4 linked regions of the Sus scrofa genome follow. The protein of the gene in region 1 purifies or fractionates together with the protein of each later gene. This does not show direct contact. Links are inferred from orthologs where the notes say so. Each region holds a gene or a part of one and is shown in the gene's direction. Other genes may lie near its edges.

Evidence for each region. Proteins that work in one complex are often made in the same cells at the same time.
Region 2: the proteins of CTTN (region 1) and FLNA purify together in Homo sapiens (affinity purification with mass spectrometry; 3 studies listed by BioGRID and IntAct, with this or other methods). This does not show direct contact. The link is inferred for Sus scrofa from reciprocal best matches to the Homo sapiens genes CTTN and FLNA.
Region 3: the proteins of CTTN (region 1) and ACTR2 purify together in Homo sapiens (affinity purification with mass spectrometry; 3 studies listed by BioGRID and IntAct, with this or other methods). This does not show direct contact. The link is inferred for Sus scrofa from reciprocal best matches to the Homo sapiens genes CTTN and ACTR2.
Region 4: the proteins of CTTN (region 1) and ASAP1 purify together in Homo sapiens (affinity purification with western blotting; 6 studies listed by BioGRID and IntAct, with this or other methods). This does not show direct contact. The link is inferred for Sus scrofa from reciprocal best matches to the Homo sapiens genes CTTN and ASAP1.

The regions. Positions count from the first base shown.
Region 1 is NC_010444.4:3,032,750-3,037,697, reverse strand, and holds part of CTTN (src substrate cortactin), read left to right. Parts: intron 1-386; coding exon 387-535; intron 536-2,687; coding exon 2,688-2,777; intron 2,778-3,379; coding exon 3,380-3,536; intron 3,537-4,277; coding exon 4,278-4,349; intron 4,350-4,948.
Region 2 is NC_010461.5:124,892,358-124,897,709, forward strand, and holds part of FLNA (filamin-A), read left to right. Parts: intron 1-565; exon of another isoform or gene 566-640; intron 641-878; 5' UTR 879-994; coding exon 995-1,367; intron 1,368-4,398; coding exon 4,399-4,647; intron 4,648-4,767; coding exon 4,768-4,865; intron 4,866-4,952; coding exon 4,953-5,100; intron 5,101-5,352. UniProt on the Homo sapiens protein: Promotes orthogonal branching of actin filaments and links actin filaments to membrane glycoproteins. Anchors various transmembrane proteins to the actin cytoskeleton and serves as a scaffold for a wide range of cytoplasmic signaling proteins.
Region 3 is NC_010445.4:76,694,616-76,698,891, reverse strand, and holds part of ACTR2 (actin-related protein 2), read left to right. Parts: intron 1-1,236; coding exon 1,237-1,369; intron 1,370-4,276. UniProt on the Homo sapiens protein: ATP-binding component of the Arp2/3 complex, a multiprotein complex that mediates actin polymerization upon stimulation by nucleation-promoting factor (NPF).
Region 4 is NC_010446.5:10,417,566-10,422,917, forward strand, and holds part of ASAP1 (arf-GAP with SH3 domain, ANK repeat and PH domain-containing protein 1), read left to right. Parts: intron 1-184; coding exon 185-300; intron 301-452; coding exon 453-520; intron 521-1,977; coding exon 1,978-2,085; intron 2,086-3,585; coding exon 3,586-3,814; intron 3,815-5,352. UniProt on the Homo sapiens protein: Possesses phosphatidylinositol 4,5-bisphosphate-dependent GTPase-activating protein activity for ARF1 (ADP ribosylation factor 1) and ARF5 and a lesser activity towards ARF6.

The DNA.
Region 1 (4,948 bases):
CTTGCGAGGCAGCAGTCGTGGTGTCCCCGCCCGCCCTTTTGGGCGCAGAGTGTGAGAGGCTGGAGGTGTTCTAAACGTCTGGGCTTGTTCCTGTCTTACCAAGGGCGTCCTCGGGGTTCTCCTGGCGAGGCTCTGGTGGGAAAGGGCACAGCCATGGCTGGAGCCCCCCGGCGTTCCCCACGCAGGGCTGTGCTGCGAGTCCTGCCACGTGTGGCGCCTCCAGCAGAGGCGCCCTCACCTGCTGTGTGGCAAACGCACAGACCCTCACCCCTCGAACCCTCCATCCGCTCCCAGCCCACCCGCTGCCAACTGTCCCTCCCCCGCGGCGCTGACCTGGACACCCCACACTGCAGGCGGTGCTGAGGGCACCTCTCCTTCCTCTGTAGTGAACAGCAAAACGAGCAACATCAGAGCCAACTTTGAAAACCTGGCCAAGGAGAAGGAGCAGGAGGACCGGCGGAAGGCGGAGGCGGAGCGGGCGCAGAGGATGGCGAAGGAGAGGCAGGAGCAGGAAGAAGCCCGGCGGCAGCTGGAGGTGAGTCAGCGTGGCCAGAGGGCCCAGGACCTCGGGCTGCGGGCTTGCCTCGCTCCCTATCTGCGATCCAGAGAGGTTTTGGGGATGGCACTGGGCTCGCCCCGAACGCTCTGCTCTCAGGGACCTAAATTGTCCCCAGACGCTCGTCCACTGACCTGCCCCAGTCCTGCCCCTGCTGACCCAGTGCTGCGGCGCCCACCAGCCTGTCCTCAGTCCCGCAGCCTCTGCGCTCGTCGCACCCCAGGAACCCACTCTCTGGGGGGCGGCTGGGCTCACAGGGGTTCCCCATGAACGCAGTGCGCCTGCCCGCGTGGCACCTGCTCCTGGAGCCTGGGGCTGTGGGGCGGCCTGGGACCTTCATCCTGTTTTCCCACGAGGGAGGGTGGAGACGGGAGCCGTGACGAGTGAGCAGGAGGGTGTGGACTCGCCTTCCCCAGCTTTTCTGGAGGGACTGAGGCCTAATGGCTCTGGTCCCACCTTGTCACCTGCTCTGGGCGACCTGGGCTCGGCTCTGAGCTGCTTGTGGAAGCCCCTCGACACTGGGGGCGTAGGTAGAAGCTGAAGCGACGTGCGTGATGTATCACAGACCGCGAGGCTTTCCTTCCACCGTGGACACCCCCTCCTGGGTTGCAGTGAGGGCCCTGGGAACCCGGTCCAGCGAGAACGGTGGTTGAGGAAAGAAACGCGTGGGCAGGAAACGCCGGGCTCTGGGGACCGGGTTAAATGAGCCGATCCGCGTGCTGGCGTGTGCGTGAGGTCGCAGTGACAGAGGCCTGCGTGATGACCACGTGCCGTTCCTGAATTGCTGGGACGTTGTGGTTTCCCTTCGTCGTAATCACGCTGTGAGGCGTCTGTTTCTCGTTTTGTGACTTGGAGTTTAACCCCCGAGACCTGAACGATGCAGAAGGAGTGGAAGGCTTGGGAAGAAAGTGGCTTTGGGTCGCTGTATCCAGCCTCTTGGCTTCACAGGTTCCCTTGCAGTCCCTTTGGCCGGGTTGCCCTCTCCCTGTCCACCTGAGCCCTGCAGTGTGGGGGGCGCTGGCGTCTGAGTACTTACTCCCCTGGGCAGGCGGGGTTCACGATGCTCGGCTCTCAACTCTTGAGAGCTCGAGAGCCCACGGGTGTCTCTGTTCCCGGCCGGGTCGGGAGTGGCTGTCACAGAACCTTGTGCCACTGCAGTGTGGCCACAGGCCTGGGACTCCGGGAGCCCATGCTTAGCCCAGCCCAAGCGTGGCCGCTTCAAGGAGACATGGGTACTTAGCGCTGTTCCAGGCGCTGTGGGGCCTCGTGACCGCCCTCTGCAGGCCATGCAGAGCTGCTCTGGTGCCGAGAGCTGTGCGGGTCTCAGGACACACGACAGTGGTGCCGTCCCCTGTAGGAGAGGCAGGCTGGCGGAGCAGGTGTAGCTCCTGCCCCACCCCCCCCCCACCCCCAAGAGCCACCCACCTCCCTGGAGCCTCAGGTCCTTATCTGTGGCGGGGAGGAAATCCAGCCTTTCGGTTGTAGCACTGGCTTCCCGGGGCCGCTGCGCCGTGTTCCCACCGTGCAGGGGCTGGGCCCCGTTTGTCAGCGCACCGTCTGGACGTTAGCAGTCCTAGGCGGCACGGCGCTGGCTCCTGCTGGCGGCTCCCGAGGAGCGTGTCCCTGCCTCTGGTGCTTCCTAACCCCCACGACCTCTGCTTTCCCTCTGCCCCCTCTTGTAAGGACACGCCAAGGCCACCCCGCAGCTCAGGTCCTTGCCTGGCCACCGGTGCAGCCTCGTGCCTGGAAGGCTCCGTATTCGCAGGCCTGGGGTCAGGACCTCAGCATCTCCCCCACGGCCCGTTCCCTGTGTCTGGAGGTCGCGTCCATGTGACGTGCAGAGACCACTCCCTGTGTTTCCGCGTCCGAGGCAGACGTGGGCCCCTGGGGCACGTGTGGGTGACCGGCCGCCTGCTGCCTCTGGCTTGGGTCCCAGCAGCCCCGGGGTCGTGAGGGGCGGCGGGGGGGCGCGGGCCCGGGGGTCTGTTGGGAGGACTCACGGGGACCCGTGCTGCAGAGCAGACCCGCCCCGACGTCTGCAGTGTCCCCTCTCTGCGGACTCCCAAGGTGCTGCTGCCGGTGACGTGGCGCGGCCGGCTCCCCGCTGACCACCCCCGTCTCTGAACCGTAGGAGCAGGCCCGGGCCCAGAAGCCCACGCCGCCCGCGTCCCCCACGCCTCAGCCCGCTCCGGAGAGGCCGCCGTCGAGCCCCGTCTACGAGGTGGGTGCTTCTGCTCAGTTTGTAGGTGAGTCTGACTGCCCGGGTCAGCGCCCCGTGGACACGGAGACCCTCAAACCGCGGCTGGTGTCAGGGCTCGGGGAGTTTGGTTGCAGCTCGGGGGTGTCAGCAGAGCGCTGTTGGTGTCCTCCTGCGTGTGACTCGGTGGTCACTCCCTCGCCTCCCCTCCACAGAGGGCCTGGCGCGAACGGCCCCCCCGCCCCCCGGGCTTGGCTGCTCTGGCCGTGGGATGGGGAGACGCTGTGGAGCTGCCCTCAGAGGTGCCCTGGGGGATTGGGTGGCCTCGGAGGTCTGGGGCCTGGCAAGGCAACAGGGCGAACCCGCCCCTGGAAAAAGCAGCCCTGACGGCTGGCGGTGCCGGCAGGTGGGCGCCCGACGGGTCTCCGGTGGCAGTAGGACAGGGGTGTCCAGGTGCGAGAACAGGACTGTGGGGGAGGGGCTGGGCCCTGGTCCTCTCGCCGCTGCCGCTGTACCATGGTTGGGACCCAGGCGTCCTCAGTTCGTCTCAGCTGGGACTGCAGCGCGGCTGTGTGGCTCAGGGACCCTGTCCGGGCCGCGAGAACTGTCTCCCTGACCCTTCACAGGACGCGGCTCCCCTCCAGGCCGAGCCGAGCTACAGGGCCCCCGAGAGCACACACGAGCCTGAGCCGGTGTACAGCGTGGAGGCTGCCGGCTACCGAGAGGCCTGCGCGCCGGAGGCCGTCTACGAGAGCACGGAGGCCCCGGGCCACTACCCAGCAGGTGCGGCCCCTGCCTTGTCCCCTCTGCCCCCGTTCTCTGAAAGTCGCCTCTTCCCCTGCTGCCCCCCGCCAGCCGTGCCCTCCGGCCTCCTCTCCTTCTGGACGGGCCCAGCCTCGGGAGTCGGGGTTCCAGGAAGACCCCTGAGTGTGTGGGGGCCTCTGAGCAGGGCGGGCCTGAGGGAGGGGGTTCCTGCTGCCCTCTGGTCCCAGTCGGTCTCTGGACGCTGGCAGGAGCCAGAGCAGCGTGAGGCCTCGGACGTCTTCCCAGGGGGCTGAACGCCGAGGTCCAGCTCTTCCTTGTAAAGATGAGGCGTCCGGGAATGTCCCCGGATGGGCCTAACCCAGGCCTTCTCCGCCTGGGAGGGACAGGCGCCTCGTCCCAGAGTCGACACAGGGCAGAGCTCTTGCCTCCCCCAGCGCGCTGTGAGGCGGGCTCGGCCGTCTCCCACTTGCCATTCCCCTAACTCGGATGTGACCGTTCTTAAAATTAGTGCGAAGTATTTAAAACGTAAAAAGTTACCTTCTGAAAGTGTCCTGGGACCTGTCAGAGTCCTTGGCCCTCGCCAGGTGGGCTGGAGCCGGGAGCCAGGCCCTTGAAGCCCGTCCTCCTGGCGGGTGGGGCCTGGCCGCCCCAGGAAAGCGCCCTCCCGCCTGGCCTCCGCTGCAGCCTCGCAGCCTCGCAGCCTCGGGAAGGTCGTCAGCGGAGGGGGCCCGGGCCCTCACGGGGTCCTCTGTGTTGCAGAGGAAGGTGCCTATGACGAGTACGAGAACGACCTTGGAATCACGGCCATCGCCCTGTACGACTACCAGGCTGGTGAGAAAGGGGCCCGGGCCCCACGCGGGAGGGCCGCCGCCGTCCCTCCAAGCCTCCCTCACCGTTTTAGAAATGGGGATTTCGCTGCATTTTCCAAGTTACTTGAAAGAGTAAATGCAGTGCAGAGAGTTCCTGGCTTTCCCTCCCTGAATCGCCTGAGAGCTGCAGGGTGCCCCGTCCCCCTAAAAAGCCCAAACCGGGACACTGCTACAGAAGCGGTTTCCTCCAAGAGTGCAGAGTCACTGTTGAGACCGCCACACCTGCAGAGGCCCTCACGTTTACCAGCTGTACCCAGAACTCTCTGGTCCTGGTCCTGTCTGGGCCTGGCCCCAGTGCCCTCCCATCCCACCCGGAGCAGCCCCCCAGCAGCCCCCCAGCAGCCCCCTGCCCCTCAGGCCCTTGGCGCTTTTCCTTCTGGGGTGACCCTTGGCGGCCCGGCCAAGGCCCTGCATCCTGGCAGCGTCTGTGGCTGTCTGTCCTCCGTCTGTCCTCCGCCGTGGTGGTCACCACTGTCACCTGGCCCACTGGTGCCAACCACGTTCTCCACTGCTAGGGCCCCACGTCTCCCCTCGCAGCTGCTGAGGATTTTGTGGGCCCCC
Region 2 (5,352 bases), on another chromosome or scaffold:
GCCCCGGGTGGGCGGCCGGCGGGTCAGGCGGGCACTCGTCGTCTCCGCACGCGTGCACGCATCGCACGGCGCCCTCTGCCAGTGCCCACTGGCACGCCCGGGCCCCTTCCAAGGCCGCAGGCTCCTGGAGTGCCGGTGGCCTCCTGGCCCAGTGCCCCATTTCCTCCCGGGTGGAGCGGGGAGGGAGGGAGGCGGTGGGGACCGGCAGGCGCAGGTGCGCAGGCCAGGGCCGCGCAGAGCGGGAAGGCGGGCTGGGGCAAGGGGTCTGCGGGGCGGCTGCGGGGTGTCCCGGGCGTGGCGCACGCGCGCAAAGCGCTGGCAGCAGCGCCCGGCCCGGCCCCGCGCTCTCCGAAGGCTCGCCTTTAAGATCGGGCTCCTTCCCGCCGCTGCGGCTGCCGCTGCCTGGGCGGCGGGCTGGGGCGCGGCCAGAGAACCCCACGCGCCGGAGCTCGGGGGAGGAGGGGGCTGCGAGGGGCTGCGGGGGACCGAGGGGAGCCCACGTGACTCAGGGAGGGCGCGCCACCCCACCCCCCGCAGGGGCCTTGGGGAAGGAAAGTCCCTTGTTTGGTTTGCCCGCTGGAGGCCAAGTGGTCCAGCGCCAGAGGCTGCTCAGCTTTCCCTCGCTGCAGTTTCCCGCAGGGTAGGCGGGAGATCACAGGGCTTGGGCTCATCCTCGCCGGCTTCGGGCCCAAAGACCCTTCCGGAGCCTGGGGGGTCGAGTCTAAACCGCCGGGGCTGGGGGATTCAGGGGGGCATTCCAACGGGTGGGGTGGGGCGGGGCGGGTGCGGCCCGAAGCCCCACCCTCGGTCCCGCCCCACGTTGCTCCCGCCCCTTAGCCCCGCCCCCGCCCGCATTTAAAGGGCTCGCTCTCTTCCAGGCGCAACCTCTGCTCTCTGCCTCACCCTGCGCTCGCTGAAGTGCCTGCGACTTTAATTAAAGGGCCGTCCCCTCGCCCAGGCTGCAGCACCGCCCCTCGGCTCCTCGCGCCTCAAAATGAGTAGCTCCCACTCCCGGGCGGGCCAGAGCGCTGCGGGCGCGGCTCCGGGCACCGGGGCCGACACGCGAGACGCTGAGATGCCGGCCACCGAGAAGGACCTGGCGGAGGATGCGCCGTGGAAGAAGATCCAGCAGAACACATTCACGCGTTGGTGCAACGAGCACCTCAAGTGCGTGAGCAAGCGCATCGCCAACCTGCAGACGGACCTGAGCGATGGGCTGCGGCTCATCGCGCTGCTCGAGGTGCTCAGCCAGAAGAAGATGCACCGCAAGCACAATCAGAGGCCCACCTTCCGCCAGATGCAGCTTGAGAACGTGTCGGTGGCGCTTGAGTTCCTGGACCGCGAGAGCATCAAGCTTGTGTCCATCGGTGAGGGCATGGGCAGCCCCGTGGCGCTGGGAGGGCGAGGGCGGGAAACTCCGCGCGTCCTCCCATCTCCCCCCGGCCGACCTCTCGCAGACACCCCCCCCCAAAGCTGGGCACTGCCCCAGGGGCCCCCGCGGCCGCCCACCTCCGTGCGGGCCTCGAGAACAAAGGCTCGCAGGCCGGCGGTGCTTGTGGACCGCTACGCGCCCCCGCCCGCCGGTCCGAGGCTGGCCCACGCCCAGACTGAGCTCACATCCTCCACAGGCCGCGCCCCCACCAGTGCACCCTCGGTGGGAGACGGCCTGGGGGGGCGGGCAGCGGCCAGGCTCTGGCCCTGCGCCCAATGCCCCATCTCAAACAAGGGAGAGGCCAGCGCTTTCCACCCCCTAGAGCAGTTTGGAGAGGGCCCTCTGCCTTCAGGGGGCCCTGTGATTCCCCTAAGCGGGAATTTGGAGTTTGTGGACTACCATTGTCTAGGGCCCCGCACTGAAGACGACTCCAAGCCCAAGTTTAGATCGCCTTTCAGGAACTAGGAGGCCAGAGAGGACCACGGCTAGCAAAACTGAGATGGGTTTGGGTGCTGGCCGGTTCAGGGAGCTGGCCTGTAGTCTAGTTGGGCATCCCGTTACTATCGACCTGGGGCCAGACCGTTGCTTCTATGCAGAGCTTGCTCTTCTGCATCTAGAAGGCAGGAGTTGGGTGTGAGGTAGTCCAGCATGTGCTGGGCTCGCCGCCAGCCCCGTGTCCGTGAGGCTGGCGAGGCTGCCACTGACCCGGCTACTGCATCCTCCCAGGCACTTGAGAGGGGAGCCCCTCGGGAACAGGCACCAGAACTGGTGACTTGGGGTAGATGTGCAAGGGCGAGGGAAGGGGCACAAGCTTTCCTCCGAATTGGAGGAGACCCTCCAGCTTTCCCCATTGCCCTGGGGCGGTCCTTGCTGAGCCTGAGAAAGTGAGGGGCCGACACTCAGGTGCCCCCTAGCACTCAGGGCAGGTCGCTAGGGCCCCACCTCTTTCTCTGGAATGCAGGTCCAGGCCGAGACCCACCCCCCAGTCCCAACCTCAGTCTAGCCAAGCTGAGTCATCTCTGAGCCTTGGGTGGGGGGGCAACCGGATGTGGGGAGGCGGGCCACACCCCAGTTGTCTGGGGGGGGTCTCCTCCTCCCCCCCTCCCTTCTTCTCCTCCTCTTGTGAGCTGGCTGGAGCAGGCCTAGTTCCCAGAGCTTTGCCATATAAGGCAAAAAAATGTTGGAAAGCAGCAGTGATTAGGGGAGGGAGGGGGCAGGCAGGCCCCGGGGGCTGGGGAAAGGGGGTGGGATGGGGCGGGGCCATCCGACCCGTCCGTCTCTCTACCCTGAGCCCCGTCCTTCGCTCCTTTTGTGAGGTGGATGGGGAGGGCCTAGGCAGCCTCCTAAGGACCAGGGGGAGGGCCCAGCCGGACCTTCCAGGGCTTGGCCTTGTGTGTCCCCTCGTGGGTGGTTGTGGGTCGAGGGCTCTTGTGCTGGACTCGGGACTCTGGGGGTGGGGGCCTGGGGGGAAAGGCCCACTCGCTCCTCTGCCCTCGGTCTCCTCTCAACCTTCAGTTCCCTCAGCCCGAACCCCCTCCCACCCTCCCGCCCGCCCGCCCTTTGGGGACAGTGCAAGGCAGTGGTGCAGGACCAGGACCAACCCCGGCCCAGGAACGGGGAGGCCACTCTGCTTTGAGTGGCGTTGAGCTGGTCCACGAGGTGCTGCTCCCTGGATTTGGAGGCGGCCTGCCATTGATGGCCCTTTTGGTGGCGTCCATCCCCTGCTCCCCACCCGGAGTTGACTCACTAGACAACTATTCTCTCCGATGGCTGGGGGAGGTGGAACACGCCGGCAGGGGTTCCAAAGACGAGTTGCCCTCTCCAGTTCTCAGAGCCCCACCCCCCTGCCCCCAGCCGCTTGAGGAGGCCGAGACCCAGAAGCGCCTTGGGTGGGGCCCGAGCCCGGAGGGGTTGCCATGGTGATGGGGTGCAGGGTGCCCGCCCTAACCACTTCCCCTGTGGTGAGCTTGGCGGCCACCAGCCTGCAGCCCAGTGACCCGTTAGGTGGCGGGGTGGCGAGGAGGGCGGGCAGCGGCTGAGCAGGCTCTGCTGAGGCAGCGAGACTCAGGGACCCCACCCATGACCTCTGCCACCCGGGCTCCCAAGCTGGGCCCTGAGCGCCCAGCCTAGGCTCACTGGCTCCGCCCACCCCCCTGGGCTGGGTGAGGGGGCCCCTGGAATGTGTCCTGCCCGTCATTCCTGGCTGGCAGGCCACCCCTGCAGGGCCCCAGTGAGTCAGGGCCATGCAGCCCAACCACTGGCTCCTTGGGGCTCCCAGCCCCTCCCCTGCACCAGGCCTGCTGCCCAACTCCCGCTGGCCTCCCCGCTGTGGAGGAGGGGAGGGCGCGAAGGAAGTGGGGGTGGGGTGGGGCTCACACCCTCCACCCAAAGGGGCCTTGCCCAACGCCTCCACTTCCCCAGCCTCACGCCACCCACCCGCCCACCCTGGGGTAGCAGTTCTGTTTCCCAACTGCCCACCCACCTGCCTTCCTCTTCCTCTGGGCCAGCTCAGGGCTCTGGCCTCGAGGTCCTGGGGCCCAGCTGCTCCTCCTGCGCCTCCCCTGGCGACCCCGGGAGGTGGACAGTGGGCCCCCGCTTGGGCAGCTGCGAAGTACGCAACCCGCGCGCTGTCCAGAGCTGCCTTTGAGGAGGGGGAGCCTCCCCAGGCCTCCCCTGGCCCTGTCTGCAGCCCAGCATTGTCCCCTGTCCTTCCTCTGGCTCCCCAGAGCCCCGGGGCTTCTGGCAGCACCCACTCATTGTGCCGCATTGTCACTATGTGGACACAAGGATGTGTTCCCTTCAAAGGAACCTGCGCAGAGAGGCTCTGCCCCCCCACACCACCCAGAGACTCCCCCTCCTGCCCGGGCTGCTGGGCCTGCGGGTGTGCTGCCCCCCAGCCCACGTGGCCATGTCCGTGTGCGCCCGTCGGCCGGCCTGCCCAGCTCTGCCGCTCCCTCCCCATGCAGACAGCAAGGCCATCGTGGACGGGAACCTCAAGCTGATCCTGGGCCTCATCTGGACGCTGATCCTGCACTACTCCATCTCCATGCCCATGTGGGATGAGGAGGAGGACGAGGAGGCCAAGAAACAGACCCCCAAGCAGAGGCTCCTGGGCTGGATCCAGAACAAGCTGCCGCAGCTGCCCATCACCAACTTCAGCCGGGACTGGCAGAGCGGCAGGGCCCTGGGCGCCCTTGTCGACAGCTGTGCTCCAGGTGCGCGGGGGCTAGGGGGCTGCCTGCGGGGCGGGGCGGGGCGGGGGGGGGGGGGAGGCGGGGTTGGTGCGCAGGGAGGTCCCGCGTGCCCGCGGACTCACGGCCTTCCTCACACCGCAGGCCTGTGTCCCGACTGGGACTCTTGGGATGCCAGCAAGCCGGTGAACAACGCGCGGGAAGCCATGCAGCAGGCCGACGACTGGCTGGGCATCCCTCAGGTACCGTGGGCCGCCTGGGGCTGAGGTGCTGCGTCCCTGGATCCTGGGACTCGCAGGCCAAACGGCTTCTTCTTCCACTCGTGACAGGTGATCACCCCTGAGGAGATCGTGGACCCCAACGTGGACGAGCACTCCGTGATGACCTACCTGTCGCAGTTCCCCAAGGCCAAGCTGAAACCAGGGGCTCCCCTGCGGCCCAAGCTAAATCCGAAGAAGGCCCGAGCCTACGGGCCAGGTGAGGGGGCCCGCCGGGGTGCTCCTGCTCAAAGACCTCCCCGGGGGGGCGGTCCTCTCTCTCGAGGTCTCGCGGCGGCTAGTGTGTCACACGCCCCCATGGGTCAGACGGGAGGGGGTCAGGACCGGTGGGAACCGGCCACCGGCTGGGACATTCCCCATGGCCCATCCGCCTGCGGCGGAGCGTGTTCCAGGAGGCAGGAGCACAGGCCCAGGCAAACTCAAGGGAGCATTCTAGAAAACAGGCCCAGGC
Region 3 (4,276 bases), on another chromosome or scaffold:
CATAGTTAGAAAGCTGTCTTTTATAATCATGTTATTGAGAAATTCACTCAGAAGCATTTTATTAAACAAGTGTTTATTTAACCTTGAGTGAAATAGCCAAAAATTTTATGGGATGGCTGGGGAACAGGACAATAATGGAAATTAATAAAAGTAGCTCTTGGCTTACAACAGGCTATAAATCTAATGGAAGATGGTAAAAAAAATCTAGTCTAGACTTCATAATTATGATAAATGCACATAGTAGGGAATAGGTAGATGTTTTTGGTCCCTTGATTTAATGATCACTAATAGCTATATTAATAGTTATATTTATATGTGCATTCCTGTTGGTGGTGATTAATGTTTTGGCATTCCCAAAGCACTGGAATCAGGTTTAGCAAGTAGCACAACTCAGATTTTGTTTTTCATGTGGAAAGCACACATGTAAAATGTTCATGGATACAGATCCTTAACTACTTAGTTTATGTTATACTCATTTGCATACTTCCACAATTAAATATAATACAAAACTTCTTCTAGAAGCTAGAATTACAATAGCTTGAGCCCTTGAGGACCTGGAACTAAATAAAAACCTGGAGGCAAGTTTGAATGAAACCAAAACAGATGTGACTCAGGTCCTGAGCTTTACTATGAGAAGAGTTCCTCTCTCACTCAGATTGTAGTACTTTTTCTACATATGCAATTATTTTAGTTTTGATTATCTGGTATCATGACCAACAACATCATATTTAAGGAGGAAAGAGAGGACTGCTCTAAGAAGCTAACACATCAATCTAACCATAAATAATAGCTGACAGCCTCAAGGCAAAGGAACAAAAAATGGCAGAAGGCAAATGGGAAAAGTCAAAAGCAAGAACTGGAGTCATGGCCGACTCTGGTTAATTGTAGTAAACAATCACACCTCTGTGGCTCCAGGAAAGCACTGTGATAGCACAGTCCAAACACAACAGGCTTGTAGTGTAAACTGCATTGTTAAAAGACTCAATTACATTTGTAAGAAGATATGTGCTTTAGAAGTATTGCCATCAACGTGATAATAAATGATAATAAATACTTTATATATAAAAAGGGTTTATCTGTGAACAGTAGTAGTAGCAAACATGCAGCCCTGTGGTTTACATGTTGAATTTTATTTAATTTTCCCAGCACCCACCTGAGGCTGATGTAAATAAAGGAGCTCAGAAGTACTGTTTACTGATCTGAAACCTGTAATGAACACCTATTGTGTCTTTCTAGATCTGAATTCTATAAGCACATTGTGCTTTCTGGAGGATCTACTATGTACCCTGGGCTGCCATCACGTTTGGAACGAGAGCTTAAACAGCTTTACTTAGAACGAGTGTTGAAGGGAGATGTGGAAAAACTCTCTGTAAGTATCAAGTCAATAATCCAATTGTTAACGTACTTTTAAAACACTGTTAACATACTTTTTAACCACCAGAGGGAGCAAGAGGTCTTCCTAAACAAACTCCTAGTTCAGTCTGCCTGGAACAGGGAGGAAGTAGATAACCCTCAAGATGAACCTTTATTTTTGCTTTTTTAGGGCCACACCTGCAACATATCGAGGTTCCCAGGCTAGGAGTCTAATTGGAGCTACACCAGAGCCACAGCAACACCATATCCAAGCCGAGTCTGTGACCTACACCACAGCTCACAGCAACGCTGGATACTTAACCCTCTGAGCAAGGCCAGGGATCAAACCTACAACCCTATGGTTCCTAGCTGTATTTGTTTCTGCTGCGCCACAACGGGACCCCCCCAAGATGAGCTTTTCTCAGAGTGATCCTAGTGTTGAGTCACCTCTGTTTTCAGTGGATAGAGGCGATTAGGTTCAGGGCCAGATGTTGGTTCATCTGTAACAAAACAGCCTGGTGCAACCAAAGTGCCCTTAAATGCAGTGAGAAATGCCTCCGTTGGGTTTTATTTTTATTTCTTAACTTATTCTTTGACTATGTAATCAGCGTGCTGCTCTTGGACTGTCTCGTATTTCTGATTCTGTTATTTTCTGGCTGTTTCTTGCATATGTTTTATCTCCTCAGTCTGGTAGTATAACACCATGTCTCCAGTTCTTTTGCATCCCTGTCAACTGTTATAGCTCTTGAAACAGACTTTATTTATTTGGCCTCACCTGCAGCATGTGGAAGTTCCCCAGGGGCTGAACTCATGTCATGGCAGCAACCTGAGCCGCTGAAGTGACAATGCCAGATCCTTAACCTGCTACACCACAAGGGAACTCCCCTTGAAACAGACTTTAATTGGTAGTAGCTGATGTGTAGAGTAAGAAGGAAATTTTAAACTAGTATGCAGTAGTTAATGGTTATATGGCTTTTTTCCCCCTCTAAGCCTGGACTGTGTTAAGTACGGTATACATACTAAACACCAAGAGTCATTTAATTTTGAGTTAAACTCTGAGGTTCATCTCACCAACTTGGATCAGTTGTTTTAGATAATGAGATTATATCCCGCAGAGACACTATGTATATATTGGAGATACAAATGTTACAAATCTCATTTGTGACTCACATTGTTGAAATTAAAATGTCTAAGTACTTCACTCATTTTTCTGATTTTATTGAGTTATACATATAATTTAAAATCAGTCTCGAGTGATTATTTTTCCTTTTTACTGCTGCACCTGTGGTATATGGAGGTTCCCAGGCTAGGGGTCAAATCGGAGCTGCAGCTGCCAGCCTACACCACAGCTGCAGCGACTCCAGATCTGAGCCATATCTGCGAACTATGAACTACGCTGCAGCATGTGGCAACTCAGGATCCTTTAACCTACTGAGTGAGGCCAGGGATCGAACCCACATTCTCACAGAGCCAGTGTTGGGTCCTTAACCTGCTTAGCCACAATGGGAACTCCCCAGCAAATATTTCTTGAACTACTTTTGGGTGTCAAACACTTGTCTAGGTGCTGAGAGAAACAAAACAAAAATAAGTCCCCGTTTTTAGCCTGTGAATAATGTATTAGCAGTAATGAGCACTGTGAAGGAAAGTCAGGGTAGGAGCGAGAAGGTGGAGGTGATGGGTGAGATGGTCTGCTCCTTCGTGCAGTGTCATCAGGGAAGGACTCTGGTGGGACAAGGTAACTTCTGAGCACAGGCCTGAAGGGAGCAAGCGAGGGAGCAGCCCGACTCTGTGGGAGGAGAATCTTGCAGGCAGGAACAGCTCTGGTTGGGATGTGCAGGTGTGGCAGGAGCAGAGTGCGCAGGGAGGTGAGCTCAGAACGGCTGTCAGGACGCAGGTCTGGCTCAGCTGTGGGAAAGAATTTGGCTTAGCTCTTAGCGAGAGAGAAAGTCTCAGGAGAGTCCTGAGCAGAGACATGGTAGGATCTGACTTGTTTAAGGGCTCGTTAAGGGTTGTGTGGTGAGAGGATTGTTGAGGGAGGTGGAGGTAGCAAGATGGGTTGGGAGGGGGAGGAGGCGGCCAGGGTTTATCACGTATAGGGGGAGGCTTGAGATGGTTTCCGGGAGAGTGGAAGAGAGAAGTGTTGAGGGATTGCAGTGCCCAGGGGCTCAGTCGTGGTGAGGGTCCTTCTCAAGCTAGCTGTTGAGTTCCTCTCACACCGTGTTCAGTTGCTGGAGAGCAGGGGCAGAGCAGAGTGGCACCCAGCTGTGTATCCTGCCGAGTGAGGGGGAGAAGAACAAGGTCACTAAGGATGACATCAGGACAGGGTGGAGAGAGCGTATCGTGCCCACGCCCAGCAGAGCAGGTGTGAGAAGAAATGACCTGGGCAAAGAGGGCTGATGGGTGGCATGGTCCGATGGCGATGAGTTTCTGAACAGCGTGGCGTTGCAGGGAGGAGGGAGAGAGCAACAGCCGTGAGGAAAAGGAGTTGCTGTTGCCTGGCCTCTGGGTTAGGAAGGTAGTGAGAGAGAACCAGCAGCCAGGTGAGGGGGCTGCGGGCCAGCACTGTCCTCAGGGGCTAGCCAGGTCTCTTGGAACACAGCCGGGCTCATTCTCTTACTTACACAGTGTTACCTGTTGTCACATGTTGTCTGTTTAGGTACTGCCAGAGAGCCCCACAGAGCCTTGAGTATTTACTCTCTGGTTCCTTGCAGGAAATGTTTGCTGACCCCTCCCTGCCGAAGGGTAAAAAAGTAACTAGAACAGTTAAGACAGTAGGTTAGCCTCAGAATGAATTAATAAGCCAACTGGTGTTTTTCTGTGTCACATATGAGAGATCTGATGCTTCGTTTATGTGATGTAAAGACAATTTAAGACCAGCATAGTTATTTTGAGTCTTTTTGGAGGATTTGTATCTTTGTAAATA
Region 4 (5,352 bases), on another chromosome or scaffold:
TGCTGAATAAATGCAGGCTGTTACACGTTGCTTAGAAACTTAGGTGTCGTCTTAAAGATATCCCTGTCTCTGCTTATAAGAATTAGGTCTCAAATTTAACTCAGTTATTAGCACAGAAAAGAAAAATGGTGAATCTTAAGTTGTAGAGCAAGTCATTTTTTTTCCTAATGTCTTCCTCTTTCAGTGGAAACCTAGACAAGCAGACAGCGCTGGGGAATACAGCTCTGCACTACTGTAGTATGTACGGCAAACCTGAGTGCTTGAAGCTGCTTCTCCGGAGCAAGCCCACTGTGGACGTGGGTAAGTGGGGCTGAGGTCTGTGAATAACCGCAGTGAGCATGTTTGATTGGCTGCAACTGAGACACGCCTGTTCCACTGCAATGTGAGTCTTGTTCTTTGGCTGTTCAAGATGTGTCTTAGCTAATCATGCGAATGTATTCCTCTCATTTTAGTTAACCAGGCTGGAGAGACTGCCCTGGACATAGCAAAGAGACTGAAAGCCACCCAGTGCGAGGATCTGGTAAGCAGCGTGGGAGTGAGAGGGGGCTTAGACCACCTGCCTTAAAACAGCCTTCTCGAAACCACAACTGGAAATGAAAGAAGCAGGGTTTTTTTTTTTTGGTTTTTTTTTTAATGCCTGCACCCGCAATATATGGAAGTTCCTGGGCCAAGGATTGAATCCCAGCCACGGCTGCCACCTGCACCACAGCTGTGGCAATGCTGGATCCTTTAACCCACAGCTCCTGGCTGGGAATCGAACCCACACTGCCACAGTTGGGTTCTTAACCCACTTTGCCGCAGCGGGAACTCTTTTTTTTTTTTTTTTTTTAACATTGGCTAAAGAAATCCAGACAAGCACTAAGACTATATTTGGAAAAAAATAGTACGGTGATAACATTTGTCGTCTACATGTCTTTTGAGTCGAGTTAGAGTGTTGCAGCTGAAAGACATTTGGGAGTTCTCAGACCAGACGGATTGGTGGATTGAGGTCCTGCTTTTTATTTGCTAGACCATTAGTCTGTAGCTTAACAGTAAAGAATTGTTGGAGGAGCCAGTTCCAAAAATAGGGCAGGTATAGGTGAGGGTGTCGTGGTTTTCTGAATGTCCCCCTCCCCATCCTTATCTACCACTCACCTCCCGACCCCGCTTGGCCTTGCTTGTAACTGCATGGAGCACGGTTCTCTGATCCGCTGGAAACAGGGCAATGGGAAAGATAAGTCGCGTTCCCTGGGGATTCTGCCGAGGGCCCGGGCCAGGCACAGCCGTGGTCCCCCTTTATTCTTAGAAGAACCCTTTGAGGAAGTGGGCCTTCTCCCTGCCCCGTTTTAAGACTAAGAAAGTGGGCCACATGTTGAACTGGGATTGTCATTAAAGGCCTGTCTCTCATGCTTCACTTACTCTGATTTTTCCTTCCAGCCAGGAATTTGCCTTTTTAAGAATCTTGGGGGGCGGGGGGTGGCTTTTCTTTTTTTTTTCTTTTTTTTTTTAGGGCCGCACCAGCGTCATAGGGAGCTTCCCAGCCTAGGGGTTAAAACGGAGCTGCAGCTGTTGGCCCACCCCACAGCCACAGCAGTGGGAGACCCAAGCGAGCCTGCAACCCACACCACAGCTCACAGCGATGCCAGATCCTTAACCCACTGAGCAAGGCCAGGGATCGAACCCATGTCCTCCTGGACTCGTCACATTTGTTACCGCTGAGCCAGGACAGGAACTCCTGAGGCTCGTTTTAATATTAGCAAGAAAGCTTTGAATTTTGGAGAGACGTCAAGTTATCAAAGTTAAAAAGGCTCCACCTATCATTTTTGCAGTTCCTCTTACGTCTGTCCAGCAGCAATCCCACTTGTATAATCAACGTTTTGCCCACACTACAGCTACTGGTGATGACTCTGAAGCCAGGCGTAAGGTGGGATTTGCCGTTTGTGTACTATCAAGGTCTGACATTTAAATTAAACTAGTTACGTCTGCTCGTACTTTCAGCTTTCCCAGGCTAAATCTGGAAAGTTCAATCCACACGTGCACGTAGAGTATGAGTGGAATCTCCGACAGGAGGAGATGGACGAAAGCGACGATGATCTGGACGACAAGGTGAGTGTCAGTGACGCCTCTGAGCCCCTAAACGCTTCTTCCTGTGCCTACACCCAGCAGATGAGATCCTTTCCTTCTGAGACGGGTTTTGGTCCCAGGGCCTGATTCACCAGGGCCGTTTTCCTTGTTTTCGATGCTTACTAGGCGCCCCTTAGTAGCCCTCGAATCGGGCAGGGTTCTCCAGAGAAATCAACCAGTCGGGGTGGGGGGGTGTGTGTAGAGACTCAGAAATCTGCTTTCAGGAATCGGCCCCTGTGATGACGGGACCGGCAAGTCCAAAATACACAGAGCAGGCCAGCCGGCTGGAGATTCCGGCAGGAGTTGAGGGTGCAGTCCTGAGCGTGGGAACAGAATGCCGCCTTCTTTCTGCGGCCGGGGTGGGGGCGGGGGGCCTCAGTCTTTTGAGCCCATCAACGAAGTAAATGAGGCCCACCAGTTTTACTCGAAATCTAAGCTAAATGGTCATCACATCTAAGAAATACCTTCACAGCAACATCTAGACTCGTGTTTGACCAAACGCTTGTGCAGCATAGCCTAGCCCCGTCGACATATAAAATTACCCTTCAAAAATCTAGTAAATGAAAAGTTGTCACTGATTATTTGAATATGGACTAGGCGACAGTCAGCCCGTGTGTTACCTCAGATCATCTTTACCCAAAGCCCACTGGGGTGTTGCTTATTGCCCCCCCCGCCGCCCCCCCACAGAGGAGAAAACTGACACACAGGGAATTTTTACTGTTTATCTAACGTCTCATAGCGAGTAAAGACGATCTTGGGTGTCAATCCCAGTTCCATGTGACTCTGTCACAGCTCATGCTTATTTACCTCCAAGGGTTCATGCAGGCATTTTTGCATCAGCTGGTGAGCACCTGCACAAGGTATGTGCCAAGGGCCATTGCCGAGCTCTCTGCAGGACCTGGTGGCTCTCGATGCCACTGAGGGTTCCAGCTGGGAAGTTGCATGGGTGCTGATGCCGTCAGGAGCACACTCCAGCAGTCCCTTGTCAGTGGTTGATGGTGTTCAGAGTCCACGAGGTTGGGTGGGACCCTCGGGTCTGAGTCATCAGCCTTAGGTCTCCGTCACCACCCCGGGCGTGGGGGAGCTTCCTGCCCAAGAGGATGTGAAATGAGGAGAGAGCCGAGGAGAGAACTTCGGCATCAAAGAGGCAGAAGAGTGAACGCACCCGAGTGCTCAGATGCTGGTGAACGTGCCCTGCCCAGAGGCAGTGTTTGCAGATCAAAGGTTAAATCTGTGACCTGATGCTTCTGAATACTGGGACCCCAAGCAGCAGGTCCCTGGCAGGGCCCTGGCAGTGTCAGGAGAACCCAAAGGGTGGGTCCTCTCTGGATGTTTCCCCTGCACTGTGTGGTGGCTCTCAGGCTTTTGCGTGCGGAGGGCCCCGGGGACCCAGATTCCCACCTAAGCCTGCCCCGCGGAGTCCTCCGCACCCCGGCAGGGTGTGGTCAGCTCACCCACCGCACGGTTCCTTTCCTTTGCCAGCCGAGCCCCATCAAGAAGGAGCGCTCGCCCAGACCTCAGAGCTTCTGCCACTCCTCCAGCATCTCGCCCCAGGACAAGCTGTCGCTGCCGGGGTTCAGCACTCCACGGGACAAACAGCGGCTCTCCTACGGCGCCTTCACCAACCAGATCTTCGTCTCCACAAGCACAGACTCGCCCACATCACCGACCACAGAGGCGCCCCCGCTGCCTCCTAGAAACTCCGGGAAAGGTACGAGCCTTGAGAAGGCCTTTCGACTCCATCCTCAGAGCTGAGAGCTGACCCGGGTACATTGGAGTGGCAGGTGGGATGTGACCTCAGGGACAGCTTGAAATAGGGACCTTGCCATTTGCCAGGTTACAGCTGAGGAAGGGGTGTCACGGGCACTGCTCGCACCTTGTCTCTTGAGAACCTCAAGCGATCCAGTGCGGTATTTGCTTTGTGCCCATTGTATAGATGAGGAAACTGAGGTAGAGGGACCTCTACCCAAGGTCATGCAGCTGGTAAGTGGTGGAGTTGAGATTCAGTCCAGGGTCCACATGGCTTCCAAACCAGTGCCTTTTCCTGTGTACTGTGAAATAGAACTTCACTTCTTCTTTGCAGACTTCCTTTACTCTAAAATGTCTGTCTTCTGAAGCCGCGAGTAGTGACAGTGGTGTTGGTAGTTAGGAAGCTCTTGCTTTATGAGAGGCCCTGAGCCTGCCTGCGTTTTTCCACTCAGAGTGAGGTACGTAGTTCACTTGCTAGCACCCTGAGACAGGGGCCGAGGTTCAGAGGGGTCCAGGGGCAGGCCTGAGGGTCTCAGGTGTTTGGGATCTCGCCCAGGCCTATGTGAGCTGAGCCCGCAGTCCTGTGGTTTTTCATGGTGAGTGGTTTTTCATGAGGGATCCACCCCCCACCCCCCAGGGCTGGATCGTATCCAGCACCCTCATGGGGGGACCCCGTGAGGGGGGGGCTACTGATTCTGCAGCCACGAAGCACCTGGGCTGCCCCGATTCCACAGGGGCCCTGCCCCGAGTGTCCATGTCCCCGCGCAGGAGGAATTGCGCGGCACCCAGAGCTGCAGCCCCCACGCGCGGGGTCCTCCCTGTGGCCTCGGCTCCTGCTAAGGCAGGTTGGAGGGCCCAGGGCACAATGCCGCGCCTATTTGGATCACAGTGGGGCTATTTTCTGGGAAATGTGAGCTTTATTCAAAACAGTGTTTTTTCAGAGCTTATTCTCCATTGAAATGGGCTTATAAATGGGAGCTGTGTTCTTAGAGAGACCCCAAACGGCCTCAGAGATGATAACGGAGAATGTGAAAATAAGGCTTGGGCGTGAACGGTACTCCTCGGCGATGACCAGTGACCGGAACAGCCATGGCACACGGAAGCCAAAGGCTTCACCTGCCAGCCTTGCTTCCCCATTTCATGCCACAGGTTAGGCTAGAAGGTACCTTCTAAATCGCTGGCCTATCACCGTGCAGATCTGGGCTCGCCTCTGGGAAGTGATATTCCCCATCACGCAGCAATCTGCAGAGGTCCCTTTCTGCACCCGAGAGAGGACCAGGAGAAAATTCTAGACCCATAAAATTATCAAAAAGTATCTCCAGAGGGGTCCACGTCCCTTAATTGTGTTGCCAAAAACTGGTGATGACCTGTCTAGGCAGCCAAGCCGGGCCTGTTCACACAGCCCCTGGGTCATTGAGAATCTTGGGGAAAGTCCACAGGAGAAAATGACGCAAGGCCTAGGGGCCAGGAGCCCCCCACCTCCTTGTACCCCTTTTTGTA